2 linked regions of the Lonchura striata genome follow. The protein of the gene in region 2 purifies or fractionates together with the protein of the main gene of each other region. This does not show direct contact. Links are inferred from orthologs where the notes say so. Each region holds a gene or a part of one and is shown on either strand. Other genes may lie near its edges.

Region 1 (7,536 bases), on a different chromosome or scaffold from region 2:
CTGCTCGCGGATGGCTGGGTTGGAGTCTAGGAAGCCGTGGGCGACGTGGGGGAAAATTTGGGAGTCCACCGTGGAGTCAGGCAGGAACTCGATGAACTCCTCGAGCTGGGGGGGCGTGAGACCCCTGAACACCCCCAGGGACCCCCAAAAACCACAGATCGCCCCCCATAGACCCCCCCCCAGGCCTCCTCTGAACTCATAGACCCCTCCTAGTGACCCCCTAAACCCCATGGATAACCCCACCATCTCTCCCAGTCCTTCCCACTGCCTCCCAATCCCTTCCCAGTCCCATCCCAGTGCTCCCAGTCCCATCCCAGCCCCCTCCCAGTGCTCCCAGTCACCAGCTGCAGCAGGCGCAGGCGCAGGCCCCGCTCAGGGGACGAGAAGAGCCGGACGAGGACGGGGACAATTCGCTCCTGGTACTCGGGGGGGTCCAGCACCTTCGCCACCTGGGGGAGCGGGGGGAGACCAGGGGGCTATGGGGGTTACTGGGGGGATTTTGGGGGCCAGGGAGGTTTTAGGGGGGATTTTGGGGGTCAGGGAGATTTTGGGGGGGATTTTGGGGGTCAGGGAGGTTTTGGGGGGTATTTTGGGGGTCAGGGAGGTTTGGGGGGGGTATTTTGGGGGGGGTCTCACCTGCAGCAGCGGGAGCAGGGAGGTTGTGGGTGGGATTTTGGGGGTCAGGGAGGTTTTGGGGGGTATTTTGGGGGGGGTCTCACCTGCAGCAGCGGGGGCAGGGCGCTGGCGTCGGCGCTGCCCAGCTCCAGGGCCTCGAGCAGCCTCGGGAGCAGCTTGTGCCTGCGGAAGGGCCCCGGGAGGGACTCCAGGAGAGGGGGCAGCTCCTGCAGGAACGTCCGGCGCTCCGAGGGGTCCCGGACCTGCCGGGGGTCGGGGGGGACATCAGGGGATGGGGAGGATGATGGGGATGAAGGTGAGGAAGAGAATGAAGGAATAGGAGTGAAAACAATGATGATGGTGAGGATGATGAGGGGACAGGGATGGGAACGAGATGAGGATGGAAGAGCAGGGATGAAGGAACAGGAATGAAAATGAGACAAAAGGAACATAAATGAACACGGGAATGGGACAAGCATGAGGATTGAGGGACGATCAGGAGACAGCGATGGGGATGAGGATGATGATGGGGATGAGGAACAACAACAAGCACAAAGATGAGGAGACAGGGATGGGAATGAGAATAAAACAGGAATGAACGCGAGGATGAGGATGAGGTGTTCTGAATGAAAAATAACAGAGGGAACAGGGACGAGGCGAGGCTGAAGCCAGACCTGGAAGTGCTCGAGGAAGAGCCCGGTGCGCACCAGGGCGCAGGCCAGGAAGGCTCCAGGGCGCTGCAGCCGCTCCAGGAGCGGCCCCGGGCCCGGCCGGGCCCCCGGATCCGCCGCCACCAGCTCCGAGAAGGGCGGGATGAGCCCGGGGGGCAGCTGGGGGACAGGGGGGACACAGGGTCAGGGGCACCCCAGGGGCTGGGGGGACAGGGGGACCCCCGAGCCTGGGGGGGGATCTGGGGGGTGAGCAGAAATCTGGGGATCCAAGTCTGGGGGGAGTCAAACTGGGGGATCCCGGGTGTTCAGGGGGTCCCCAGGATTTTGGGGGGGGTCCCTGACCTTGCCGAAGCTGCGCAGAGCCCCCGGCCGGGGGAGGGGTCCATTGAAGACCTCCCAGATGAGGCAGCCCAGGCGCCACATGTCCCCTGCCCTGGGGGGGGCCGTGACAGTGGGGAGGGGGCACAGGAGACCCCCGTGGTCCCCTGAACCCCCCCCCACCCCCTTTTTCAGGTGCCCTCCCCAACTCACCAGGGGTCCCCCTGGCCTCGGGAGGGGTTACTGAGCTCGGGGGGGTCCTGTGGCCGAGGGGGGTCGCTGGGGGGGCGTGTGGGGGTCCCCTCGCTGGTGGCCGCCACCCGCTCCAGCCCCCCCAGCTTCCACTCGCCGCCGGGGTCCACGAAGACGGCGTCGAGCCCCAGCGCGTGGTGAACGAGCCCCGAGGCCCCCAGGAACGCCAGCGCCGTCTGGGGGGGCAAAAACCCCCCGATAGCCAAAAACCTCTCAGAAACCCCCCCTGGATCCCAGAACCCCCCCAGATCCTGGAGACCCCCCCCCCAAGACCCTGGAGATCCCTCCACCCAAGACCCTGGGGATCCCCCCCACCCAAGACCCTGGGGATCCCCCCCACCCAAGACCCTGGGGATCCCTCCACCCAAGACCCTGGGGATCCCCCCCACTCTCCGGATCTTGGGGTCCCCCCAATGGTCTCAGGTCTCCCCTCAGGGATCCCCCCCTCACCAGCAGCCGCTGCAGCCCCCAGGCCACCTCCTGCTCGCCCGCGTCCCCGCTCGGGGGGTGCAGCCGCAGGTGCCGCCGCAGGGGGGTCACGGCCTCGGTCACCAGGTACAGGCACTGCTCCGTCTGGGGGGACACTCGGGGTCACCCCCGTGTCCCCCCATTGTGTCCCTCCTTCATCCCCTCGCTGTCACCACCGGCCCTGTCCCCCCAGTGTCCCCCTGTCCCAGCATGACTGCCCGCTCCCCCTGTCACCATTGTCCCCATGTCCCCCCAGCCACCCCCATGTCCCCGCTGTCCCCCCGCTGTCCCCGCTGCCGTCACCTCCAGGCTGTCCAGGTAGCCCAGGATGTTGGGGTGCCGGAGGCTGCGGAGCCGCTTCAGCCCCGCCCGGGCCAGGCCGGTGGCACCGGGGTCGCCCCCCGGGGCCAGGCTGTGAGCGAACACCGACACCGGAGCGCCATCGGCCTGGGGACACGGGGACGGCGGTGACACGGGGCTGGGGCCAGCGGGGCGGGGGGCAGGAGACAGCCGGGCCGGGGGGATGAGGGCTGGGGACACCGAGGGGACACCGGGGGGGACTCGGGGCAGGGATGGCGGGGCCGTGGCCATGCAGGGTGCGGGGACGGGGACACCGAGGGGACACGGACCCCCCCCCCCCCCCCGCACCTTGCGGCGGCCCCGCAGCAGCCGCCAGAGCGGGGCCGGCGCCGCGGGGTCCGGCTGCGGCTCCGCGTCGGGCTCCGCGTCGGGCGGGCCCAGCTCGAAGGGGAAGTCCCGCACCGGGTCCCGGGAGAAGAGCCACATGGCGGGGCCGCGGCTCCCCGGGGCTCCCGGCGGCTCCCGGGGCCGCAGCGGGCCCGGAGGAAGCGGCGGCGGCGCCGGGCGGGAGGATCCGGTGACGGGCCGGGGGGGCGGGGCCCCGGCGAGCCAATGAGGGGCGAAGGGTGGGGCCTGGGGGAGCCAATGAGAGCGCGGGGGTGGGGAATGGGAGGAGCGAAGGGCGGGACTCGGGAGAGCCAATAAGGGACAGGGGAGGGGCCTGAAAGAACCAATGAGCGGCCAGCAATGAGGAAGGGGCGGGGCTAGAAAGGGGGCGAGGCCAAACCCGCCGGGACGGGGCGGGGCTTGTACAGGACACGCGGCAGGAAGCGGCGGTGACGTCACCAAGCGGGCCCAGCCCGCGCTGCGATGACGTCAGAGGGAGCAGCCAGTGACGTCATATGCACCAAGGGCACCCCCCCCCCAGCCCCAATGACGACACAGGCGCGGTCGGGGCTCTGCCGTTTATTGGTCACTGGGGGTCCCTGTCGCGACAGGGGGGGCTCACAGCGATGCGGCGCCCACTCGTGGTCCCGCTCCTGTCGCGATACAGGGGCACTGTCGCGACAGGAGCGTCCATCTTCATCTTCATCCAGGGTCCTGCCAGGATCGGAGCCCTTGCAGAGCGTGGACAGACGTTCTTGTCGCGATAGACCATCCCTGTCGTGACACGGGGCACCCCCATCCTGGTACTGTGGGTCACCCGGTGTGGGGCTCTGGGACAATGGGGGGGGTCCCTGTCACGACATGTGGGGCCCTATTACCAAAAGGGGTCCCTGTCACAACATGGAATCGCCCCCGCCCTCGTACCATGGGTCCCCCAAAACCATGTGAACACGTGGGGGGATTCCTGTCGTGATAATGGGTCCTTATCACAATACGGGGGCTCCTATCGCGATATGAGGTCCCTGTCGGGATACAGGGGTCTCCCTTTCCTCTGGATTTCCAGATCCCCAAGTCAAGGAGGAGAAACGGGGGGGGTTCTCCACCACAACATGGGGCTCCCTGTCGTGATATGGGGGGTCTGTGTCGGGACAGGACCCCAGGCCAGCAGCAGCGGCGCCGCGGGGAGTCGAACCCCGCCCCGGGGGGTCCCGGGGGTGCCACCACCGGCGCCTTTTGCTTTTTTTTCGGCCTTTTTGGGTCCAGAGGAGAAAAAGCAAAACCTGAGAAAACGGGGTAAAGTTTTCTCAGGAAAAGAAAAAACCTCCCGAAACGGGGAAAAAAAAAAAGCAAAAAAAACCTCCCCAAAACGGGTCCGGCCCCGCCCCAAGCGACTTGGGGCAAAATGTGGGGAATTTGGGGCCGGAGCGCACCCGAAAACGGGCGGTTTGGGGGGTTTGGGACCCACCACGCGCCCCCGGCGCAATTTGGGCGGAGAAACGGGAATTTTGGGTCCGAGTCACGGCCCAGGCGCAAAACAAGACTCAGAAACGGATTTGGGGTCACGGGCGCGTCCCGGTCGCAAAACGGGGCCGGGAGGAGGAAATGAGGGCGCAAAATGGGCTCAGACCGGCGGATTTGGGGTTAATCCCGCGCCCCCGGAGCACAGCGAGGTCCGAAAGGAGGATTTGGGGTCGGCCGCGCGCCCCCGGCACGGGATCGGCTCCGAAACGGGGTTTGGGGTCCATCGCGCGCCCCCCTCGCGGCTCGGGCCGAGAACGGGCGATTTTGGGGCTCGGCGCGTCCCGGGGCCCCGCCGGTACTTACTCTGCTGGCTCACCTGTCTTATTTTGGGGGGAATTTCTAGTTTTTTAAGCCTTTTTGGTTTTTTTTTTTTGGAGCAAATTGTCCATTTTGGGGCGAATCAAGGCGGTTTTGGCACTGTCACTGTGGGGAGGGGAGAGAGACAACAGCCAGCCCCCCATCCCGCACACCTGGCTCCTCCATCCCTTTGCTTTGGGGGAAAATCCGGGGGAAACGGTACAAAAGCTCCTCCCCCTCCCCAGGCACCAGGCGAAAGCGCTGACTAAGCACTTTTTTGGGGTGGAAAACACCCTTTTTTTTGTTTCAATTCCCAGCTTGGGGGCGGGCCCAACGAGCAGCGCATTCTGAAGCAATTTTAGCAATTTTTAGGGTTTTTTTAAGTGGGTGGGGGGGAAAGCAGCCAAACCCAAAGCTCCCCCTCCCCTTCCATCCCTGGAGTGGCCCATTTTGGGGTGAAAGCGGCACAAATACCAATTTCTGGCTCCCTACTGTTCCTGCAGACCCTGATTTGGGGGTTTTTTTGCCCCAGTCTGGCTCTTGGAGGCTCCTCTGGCGGGGGCAGGGCCGGCGGGGCTGCAAAAAACACCCACGAGACCCCCCCACACACACACACCCTGTCAGCACAACTGATTCTGGGGGGAAAAGCGGCCGAATCGGTCAAACCGCCCGCGGGTCGCGCTTTTCCGCCGGTTTTGGGGGGATTTGGGGTCGGGAGGTGCCCGCATGCCACGTCCGGGGGGGTCCCCGCGCTCCCCCCGCCCCAAACCGGCCGAAATCGCCCCAAATCTGCCGCCCTCCCCCCCCCACCCCGCGCGGGTCCCGGGGGGGGGCTCAGGGTGGGGGGGGGGCGCACCCGGTACCTGCCACCGCCGATTTGGGGGGTTTTGCCTCAAATTCGAGGCTCCCGCCCCTTGCTCGCTCCTACACTTACTCGTTTTGGGGACAAAAGTCTAAATTTAAGCATTCCTGCTGCTGGTTTCGGGAGAAAAAAACCTGGAAACATGATTATTGTCCCCTCCCCCCACGCCTGCTCCAGCCCCTCCCTCCACGGGGTTTTGGGGTGGGGGTTTACGGTTTTTTTTTCTTTCCTAAGGAAAGCTCCTGGAGCCAAATTCCTGCTCTTCCAGCTTCACTTTGGGGCAAAAAAAGCTTCTTTTTGCTGCTGCTGCTGCCTCCTCTCACTTGCGGCTGCGGAAAGGGCGGAAAACACCCCAAAACCGCCCCCTACCCACCAAAAACCGACCTCCCCAAAAAATGAAAAGAAAGAAAATCGACTCTTACTTCTCTGCATTCCCCAGCTCTGGGGGTTTTCTCCTCAAATCCCTGCCGGAATCTCCTGAGCGCGTTTTGAGTGCAGACTGGCCTTTTTTGGTTAAATCCTCTCTTTTTTTTTCCCTTTCCTCGGCTTTTTCTCACCGTTTTGGGTTTTTTTTTTTTGGCCTTTTTTCCCTGCGTTTTGCTGCTTCCCTGAAGGGGAAAAACACTCGAGACACCCCCTCCCCCTTTCCCCACCCCCCACCCCAAAAAAATACAAAACATTTCTTTGAGCATTTCTCTCCCTTTTTTTTTTGATCACCGGCCCCTCCCGCGCGACGCCTTTGGGTTAAAAACAAAAGATTTTGGACACTTACTGAGCGGCGCCGGCGGGAGCGGCGGAGCCGGAGGGCGCTGGAGGAATTTGGGGGGTTTTCCCCATTTTTGGGGAGTTTAATAGAAAGAGGGAAGGGGAAGGGGCGACGGCGGCGGCGCCTGAAACGACAGAACCCCAAAACCCCCCAAATCCCCCCAAAATTCCCAAACCCCCGGGGGGGTGGGGCCTCACCCGGCCGCTGCCTCCGGCTCCATTTGGGGCATTTTCCTCAAATTCCTCAATTTTCCTGGCTCCGGGACCCAAATCGGGATTTTTCTTCCTTTTTCTCCCTTTATCCTTCTTTTTTTCATTAATTTTCGCTTCTATTTTCTCCTCTAAATCCTCTTTGATTTTCTCTCATTTTTCCTCTCTTCTATTCTCTTCTATTTTCTCTCTTCTGCTTTTTCCCTGTTTTCTTTCACTTCCATCTTCTCAAGTTTTCAGCACTTGGGTCTTTTTTTTTCTATAATTTTCTATTTTCTTTTTTCTAGTTTCATTTTTCCCAATTGCAATTTTTCTATTTATTTACAGTCTATTTTCATTTTTTCTATTATTTTTCTAGATTCTTCTATTTTCTATTTGTTCGATTTTCTTTTTTTCTAATTTCTTCTATTTTCTCAAATTTTCTAGTTTTCCTAGTTTCTTCTATTCTCCAACTTTCTTCTCTTTTTTCTATTTTCTATTTTTCCATTTTTTCTATGCTTTTTCAGTTTTCGCTTTTCCAATTTCTATTTTTTCAATTTCGTTTTCTTTTTTCTATTTTTTTCTAATTTTTTTCTGATTTTCTTCTATTTTCTTTTTTGTTTTGTTCTATTTTCTGTCTTTCTCTCCTTTTTTCCTCTCTTCTCTCTGCTCCTCCCCTGCCCAACTGCCGCCATTTTACCAAAAAGTCCTTTTTTCCCCCCAGATGGGGCCACTGCGAAGAAAAACTTTCCTTTCCCTGCCGATTCCATCTTCACTCTTCAGTTTTCCTGCTCTTCCCTCAAAATTGGCTCCTCTCAATCCATCCTGCGTCTGAAAATGCCGCATTTCACCCCAAACCGGCCGCCCCCGCCTGCGCTGCCCGGCCCGGCC
Region 2 (7,821 bases):
GGACTCAGCATCACTCACAGACACATCTCCTGGACCACAGCCTATTTTCAGGCTAACTCAATAGGAATCAAACATACTTCCAGAAATTAACACTATTGTGCCCATCTGTAAATACCCAAATTCTCTTCAAGTCAATTAACTTCCTGCATAAGCAAAACAGCATTCCTGTGCACTTAGCCATGCAAAGAATGAGTATGTTCTGCATAAAATTACACAACTACTTACCAGCTCTTATGCAAGCAGAAAGCAAACCCACATTGACTGGAAAGTGGCAAGGAGATACCTTAGCATTCACTGTAATGTTGCTCATCCATTTGTTACCTCTGGGCAATCTTCAAGTAATTTATTTAAATCACACCAACTTTAGCATGGTAAGATGGAGACTGCAGAAAGCTACCCAAAGAGCATATGCTGGGTGAGAAATACCATAACAGCCAAGTGTTCAGGCTCCCAGTATTGAGATTACAGAAGGGGTTCATGGAAGAATGCTGCTACAAATGGAAATTGGTTTGTGATATCAGACAGACCCATTCCTGGGTATGATTGTTATGCTTCTGCACCTAACTATGCAAGTTTACCAGAAATGAAGTAGCTGACAGGGCTGTCCAGGCATCACCACCAAGACTGAACAGGACTTAAAACAACCCAAAATGAAGGAAGGAAACAATGAGGAACAAACCCCAAAAATTAACAGTGCAATTACTTTCCTTTTGCCCTTTACTCTTTCCAAGATAAAGTATGGTTCTATAAAAGCAGTGCAAAACTTTGCTTGGAGGGCAATTAAGGATTTATCTTTTGTGGGTATAATCACCTGGACATTTTCATTTGCTGAAAACCAAAATACAGCCTGACGTATACATTGCTATCTAATCTTTAATTGGAAACAAACAAACAACCCTCAACCTCATTTTTAATACATTTTCTGGGGCAAAGTCAAATTCTCGTGTTGCTGGTCAAGGGAGGTACTTTCCAAGGAGCACTGCATCCTGGCTATAAGGAGTGCTTCTAGAAATTCAGAATGCAAATGACAAGTCTTGACAAATTTCACTCACAGTTAAAACAAGGTAGAACAACGAAACTCAAGATCCAGCACTGCCTCCTGCTCTGAGCAGGTCAGTAGGACATATTGACATCAGCTCTGCTCACAGAGCAGGGCATTTAAAAAGGGATTGTGGCTGTTTCAGTTCTGCCAGGGAGCTGCTGTGAGTGCTGCTGAGATGGAAACTGGATACTCTGATGCTAACAATATTTATCTGGATAAGCACATGGTGAGGAACTAAGTAGAGCTGTGCAGCCAGAAAATTGGCTTCCCAGCTGTCGGAACACACACAACATAACCCAAGTTAGTTATGCTACAGGAGTCCCCCTGAAATGCCTAAATACAAACAGGATGATGCAATATGAAAAGTTGCCACCAAAATTTCACATGTTCTTCTGTTTTCTTGTGAATCCCAGAGGCTTCCAAAGATAAAGGCTCCACACATATAGTCAAAAATTTTCTGTTTATGTCAAAGCATGAGCTACTTTCTTACAGTCCAACATCACTGTCCCACAGTATCAACTGCACACACTTGCCTTCATCTTTCAGTGCTGAACTGCTTCTCTCCTCAACAAGTGCAGTGAAACCACATGAAGTGACATCTCTACACATACCACACATAACAGTTCCACACACTGTACTTTTCCCTTACAACACTGCCTACCTGTGTGAGGAGGAGAATGTGGCACAGCTCTTCATATCCAGTGAAGGGTCTGCTAAGTCCAACTCAAATATTTCTAGAGAAGCACTTGTACTGAAGGTTGCATCCAGCTGCTGAGCTGATGTACCTGCAAGGAAGCACACCTGGCAGTGAGAGAGCCATGATACACAGAGCAGTAACTGCAAATGCAGCACAAGGAGGGGAACAAAAACATCATCCTTTCAAAAACGATCCTGAGATGGACTCAGGCTTCTGTTTTTATTACTTAGATGCAGTTCCACACAACTTTCCTCCCCATGGCTCTTTCTTTGGATGTTTCTTAAAGAATATGAGCAGGAAAATATTTGGGCAAGTACCTCCCTGATGATGCACAGAACGCAGTTAAAGTGACAAAGGAGCCACAAGTGACTAGTACTTAGGATTGGTGTCACCTTTCCCTGGCAGAAAGACAAGGGTTCTCACTGTTACTCGCAGAATGCAAAGCATGTTTTTATCAGCACAATGCAAGAACTCAGCTCAAAACCCCACAACATATACTGCACTCCAGCCCTCAGGACACAGAGTATCTCCTACAGCTTTCAATAACCCCTTCATGGCAGCCACCAAACAGAGCCCGAGGTCTGCTAGCACGTGCTGCCCAAAAACTCACCTGTAGCCAGGTAAATGGGGTGCTGCTGGGCAGGGCTCCATGCCTGCATGGCAGTACGGTCTACTTCCTTCAGCTTCATTTTGCTGAAAAGTAAGACCAAGACAAGTGATGCTTAAATGGTGCATGGTGAGACTGCACTGCCACGGATACAGAAGCCACTTTAGGACTCGGCAGAAGCAGCCAGAGGGACCATTTTTCTAAAGATATCCCTCAGACAGACAGCCAAGCCATCCCCTCCAGAGGGCACCCGGCGGAGGGAAGGAATGCCTCTCCATTAGCAGAGTAACATTGACACGCAGAGGAAACTGACGGCTGCTGAACCTAACACAGGAAAACGTGGGCAAAGCTTCAACAGCTGTGAAAAACCCTCTTCTCACAGCAGCAAGCACCCTACAGCAGCTTTGTGCCTTAACCCACGAAACCAACCCAGCCCCGGGAAGCCGAACACTCAGCGGCTCGTTCCTGGCTCCCATTTCATTCCCAGGGCTCCCTCGCCTCGGGGCACCCCGCGCGGCCAGCGGGACCGCCACCCTCGCCCCGTTTCCGACAGGAGCCGGAGGAAAACAGCACTGAAACAGAGGATTTCGCCGTCCCTGCCCTCACATCGGCGTCCCCGGCGCTCACCCGTCCCCGGACCGCTCCAACGTGGCAGCCCCGGCACCGCCTCCCGGCCGCCACCGCCTTCCGGGCGCGCCCCGCGGCTTCCGGGCGGCAGCGGCGGGGCCGCGCCTTCCGCACGGGAACCGGGGGGCGGTGGTGATGGGAGAGTGTGTATGGGGATGTGCGGCCGCCTCCTTCCGCGCGTGTCCTCCGCGTCCCTCGGGCGGGAGCAGCCATCGGGCCTGGGGAAGAGGGAGACTGGTTAGGGGCGCCGGGAGCGGGGGGAGCCCGGCGCAGCGCCGGCAGCGCGGTGGCCGCGGTGCCGCCTGTCCTCAGCTCAAGGGCAGTAATCATGGCGTGCTCAGGATGTGAACAGCAGTGAGACTCATCACGGGACAGGGGCCACCTCGGGGCGGGGAACGGCCCAAGGGAGCTCAGCCGGCTTCCACAGCCGGGGGCCACAGTCCCGGACCCACCTCCTCACGGCAGCCGGGGCACAGCTGCGCTGCCGCCTCCCGCCGCCGCTGGGCTCCGCGGCCGCTCGGCGGGCAGACGCCGTGCGCGGGGCGGGCGCTGCCCGGACCGCATGGCGCGGCCCGGCGGGAGCACAGCGGCAGAGGCGGCGGGCGCTGCCGGCCCCGCTATAAGTAGGGCCGGAGGCGCGGCTCCCATTGGCGCTCAGGATCGCCCCTCGCCACTGGCTGCGCCCGCCGCCGCCGCCGCTCCCGGTTGGCTCGGGCCGCTCCCGGCCCCGCCGCCGCCTCCCGCGGTGACGCGGCCAATAGGGCCGCGGTCCGACGGCCCCGCCGGCCAATGGCGAGGCGGCGGCCGGGCGCGCGGGCGGCGGCGGCGGCCAATGGGCGGGCCCGGCGCGGCGCGCGCGCGGCGGCGGGTGCGGCGGCGGCGGCCATGACGCGGAGCTGCTCCGCGCTGGGCTGCACCGCGCGCGACACCGGGCGGAGCCGCGAGCGCGGCATCTCCTTCCACCAGTGAGTGCGCCCGCGCCGCCCGCCCGCATCCCTCCCTCCGTCCCTCCGTCCCTGCATCCCGCCGTCTCCCTCTGCCGCAGGTTCCCGGTGGACGCCGCGCAGCGCCGCGAGTGGATCCGCGCCGTGAACCGCGTGGACCCGCGGAGCCGCCGGGCGTGGCGGCCGGGCCCCGGTGCCATCCTCTGCTCCCGACACTTCGCCGAAGGGGACTTCGAGCGCTACGGGCTGCGGCGGAAGCTGCGGCGGGGGGCCGTGCCCTCCCGCTTCCTCCCCTCGGTGCGGGCAGGTACCGGGCGCGCTCCCCGACCCCCCCGGGGGTTCCGCCGTGTGCCGTGACCTGCCCTCTCCTTGCCCCGCCAGGAGCCGCCGGCCGCCGGGCGCAGGAGGAGCGGGACCCCCGGCCGAACGCTGAAGCAGCCGCTGCCCAGCCCGCCCGCCGGGGACCACAACTACAGCCTGCAGGGACAGCGGGAGCCGCGGCCGCCGCCGGACGCCCCGCGGCACCAGCAGCAGCCGCCGGCCGCCGGGAGATGCGGCCCCGCGCATCGGCGCAGGACCGTGCCGAGCATCCTCAGGGAGCTGGCGGAAAAGCGGCAGCTTTCTGAGGAAATCGTGAGTTTGCTGCAGGCGCAGTTTTCAGGTACTGCCGGGACGCTTGCTGAAGCAGAGTGCATTCCCTGGCCCCGGGTTCATGTCTTTGCTTAACCCGTGCCAAGGAAGAGGCGAGGCACAGTAGTGTAGTTGCTGAGCCCTACACTGCATGCCAGCCTTCAGGACTGAGTTGTTCCAGAGGCCATGCTGTTGCTTTGTATTCTGCGGGGTGTTTATGGCATGCATCCCTCTGTTTCCAGCCATTTATTTGTTTCGCTAAAGTTGACCTTTTGTGATTTCTTAAGCAGATTTGCCTCGAGAGTTGCACAGCTGGAGGCAGATGGCAGACTACTCACCAGAAATGAGGCAATTTGCTTGTCTTCTCCATCTCTACCATATTAAGGCCTATGATTACCTACGGAAGATTCTTCCTCTCCCTCATCCTTACAGTCTGACAAAGCAAGTTTTAAGTTATTCATTTATTCAGAATGTATTTCCAGTACTGGTGTAGAAATAGATGTAACGGATCTGTCCTGAAGCTGCCTTGTTACTTCCCTGCATGGTCAACACTTTCCTTGGCTTCCTACCACTAGGGTGAGAGGAGAGAAACTCGGACTATGCATGAAGGAAACCAGGGCTGCCTTCTTTGCCCTGCATGTCTCAGCCTTCTCTGCAGCTCGGGCATGGCTGACCATGTCCTAAGTCGTAAAAAGTGCTGCCTGTTGCTTCAACTTTTCCAGAATCATGTCTCCTAATCACATCCCTTTTTTTTTTTTTTTTCAGCTGGCTGTCTAATAACGAGGCTGCTGCAGGCTTCAGCAGTGACATTTTTCTCCAGCTTCAGGAAAAGGTGGAGAGAGGGGATCAGGCCTGCCGCTACTGCGCCGTGCTGGTACAGGATGTGTCCCTGCAGAAGCAGCAGGAGTGGGACCCACAGAGCAAACAGCTGACGGGCTTTGTTGACTTGGGAGCAGGCATCCTTGACGCTGACGAAGCTCCACTGGCGTCGGAAGCAATAATCCTCATGGCAGTCGGCATCTCGAGCCCTTGGACAGCTCCCCTTGGCTATTTCTTGGTGAACAGTATATCCGGCAACTTCCTTGCTCAGCTCCTTCGTCAGGCCATCCATAAGCTGAACAACGTTGGGATGATGGTCCTGGCTGTGACATCGGGTGCCTCTGCTCGCGGTGCTGAGACTGCCAGGGCTTTGGGGATCAGGATAGATCCCAAAAGGATTCAGTGCACTTTCCAGCATCCACCCGGTTCTGCTCACAGCATTGCGTACTTCTTTGATGTTTGTCATACCCTCCTGCTGATAAGGAATGCTCTGCAGTGCTTCCACAAGGTCGAGTGGCTCGGTGACATCATGTGGTGGCAGCATGTGGTGGAGCTGGCAGCTTTGGGTGAGCAGAGGGTGTTGGAGCTGTGCAGTCCTGAGTCAGGCAGGGCTGGGAGTAAAGGGAGTTACCACCTGAAGGTCAACCTCGCTACCCTGCTGTTCAGCGAGGGTGTTGCTGAGGCACTGGAGCACCTCCAGAAACTGGGCCTTACCTCATTTCAGAACTGCAGTGGGACTGTCAAGTTTGTGCGTCTGATGAGCTCGCTGTGCGATGTGTTTTATGGCAGAGGCCCCTATGGAAAGGAGTCTTTGCTAGCTGGAAATTTCACCAAAATAAGCAACCTCTTCGATGAAGCCAGGAGCTGCTTTATCAATTTAAAAGACTCTGTGGGGAGATACATTATTAAGAGCAAACGCAAACTGGGATTTCTGAGCTTCTTGCTCAACACTGAAAGCCTTAAGTGGCTTTCCTCTAACCACACATGTCAAAAAGGCACTCCTTCCCACCACCTCCACACACATGCCTTCAGCCTGGACCCCCTGGAGCAGTTTCTCAGGGCCCTCCACCAAGCCTGTGGCAGCAGCAGCCCTACCTGTGCTGTGTTCCAGGCTACTTACCACAAACTGCTGGCCAGCTGCAGCCTGGCCCCCAGCTCGCCACCCAGCAGTGGCAATGCCAGCCCCTGGAACGCATCCCCGTCTCAGAGGAGAGCTCTGACTCTGGGAAGCATTCGTGCTCAGTATCAGCCAGCTCCAGGCAAGACCCTGGCCCCAGACTACCCCTACAGCGCAGGCCTGCTTTTGCCCAGCTCTGCCCTGAGCAATGCGCTGACAGATCTGTCACTGCACATGCAGAGCCTCACCTGCACTGCTGGCTGGGTGGCCGAGCAGTTGGCTGTGGACTTGCAGTGTGAGGCTTGTTTTGCCTCTCTGTTTGAGGTGGATGAGAACAGGCTAAGATGCAGGTCAGTGCTCCACATAAAAAAATTAGGTGGCATGAGTCTGCCCTCGGCCAGTGTGCACCACATAACAAGCATTTCAGAACAAGTCCTAAACCGATATGGCAGAGTAGGAGGTGCCAACAAAAATACCAAGCTGTGGCATTTGTGTCTAGAACATAAAGTCTTCCAGGAGCTTCTGGGAGAAAGCCCCCTCTTTCCCACCCTCACAAACCATTTATTTGAGGGGAAACTGAGCATCAACAACCACTACACAATCTTAGTAAAGGAAATAACACGGTGTTACTTAAACATAAGAACACACCTCACCGAACACCTAAATTTGAAATACTCTTGTGGAAGGCACAAATTGAAGAGACTGAAAGGAAAGTATTTGTTTCCATCACCACAGGGTAGCTGTCAGTCAAGCTAAACCCACACATGGTCTTAGTGAGTATATTGTAATTCCAAGGATGGCTGTTCCTTGCTGAGCTCAGTGCTGGATAGCTCTAGGCAACATACATGAGGAAACAATGTTGGCAAAACTGGTGTTGATAAGCAGTGCTGTTTTGGGCCACTGCAAACCCCCTAACCAGAGTTTAACTGAGCAAAGCAAGGAAGTTTATCTGATCCCCTGTTCTCTCTAGCAGTCCTGCAGAGCAGCCACATATTTAATGAAACTTATATGGCAGGTCAGGATGAACCAGGGTTGCACAAGGTGCCTGGGGCAGTGGTAGGAGACTGCAGTGTCCCTGGAAATGCTGGGTGGCTTTAGTGCTGCAAGTGCTCTTGCCAGAAGAAAACTGATAATTGATGAGGTTGCAGGGAATCAATGCACTGGCACTTGGATTTTACCAAAAAGATGGGCTTTATAAAATCTGGGAGCAAGAAAGTTTTCAGAGTTTCTACTTAAATAGGAAAATAAAGATGTGAAAAGAAAGTGGCACTCAAGTTCTACACAAGCTCTAATCAACTTTCCAGTATGTCTCATGAAAGAGCTAAAGATGCTGCTCCA

Evidence for each region.
Region 1: the proteins of SEC31A (region 2) and N-terminal kinase-like protein purify together in Homo sapiens (affinity purification with mass spectrometry; 3 studies listed by BioGRID and IntAct, counting the BioPlex papers as one, with this or other methods). This does not show direct contact. The link is inferred for Lonchura striata from reciprocal best matches to the Homo sapiens genes SEC31A and SCYL1.

The regions. Positions count from the first base shown.
Region 1 is NC_134638.1:548,999-556,534, forward strand, and holds the start of N-terminal kinase-like protein, read right to left. Parts: upstream 3,155-7,536; 5' UTR 3,111-3,154; coding exon 2,973-3,110; intron 2,772-2,972; coding exon 2,628-2,771; intron 2,430-2,627; coding exon 2,307-2,429; intron 2,033-2,306; coding exon 1,818-2,032; intron 1,720-1,817; coding exon 1,629-1,719; intron 1,446-1,628; coding exon 1,290-1,445; intron 879-1,289; coding exon 720-878; intron 450-719; coding exon 342-449; intron 106-341; coding exon 1-105. UniProt on the Homo sapiens protein: Regulates COPI-mediated retrograde protein traffic at the interface between the Golgi apparatus and the endoplasmic reticulum. Involved in the maintenance of the Golgi apparatus morphology.
Region 2 is NC_134606.1:60,924,095-60,931,915, forward strand, and holds the start of SEC31A (protein transport protein Sec31A), read right to left. Parts: upstream 3,090-7,821; 5' UTR 2,974-3,089; intron 2,433-2,973; 5' UTR 2,429-2,432; coding exon 2,350-2,428; intron 1,828-2,349; coding exon 1,704-1,827; intron 1-1,703. UniProt on the Homo sapiens protein: Component of the coat protein complex II (COPII) which promotes the formation of transport vesicles from the endoplasmic reticulum (ER).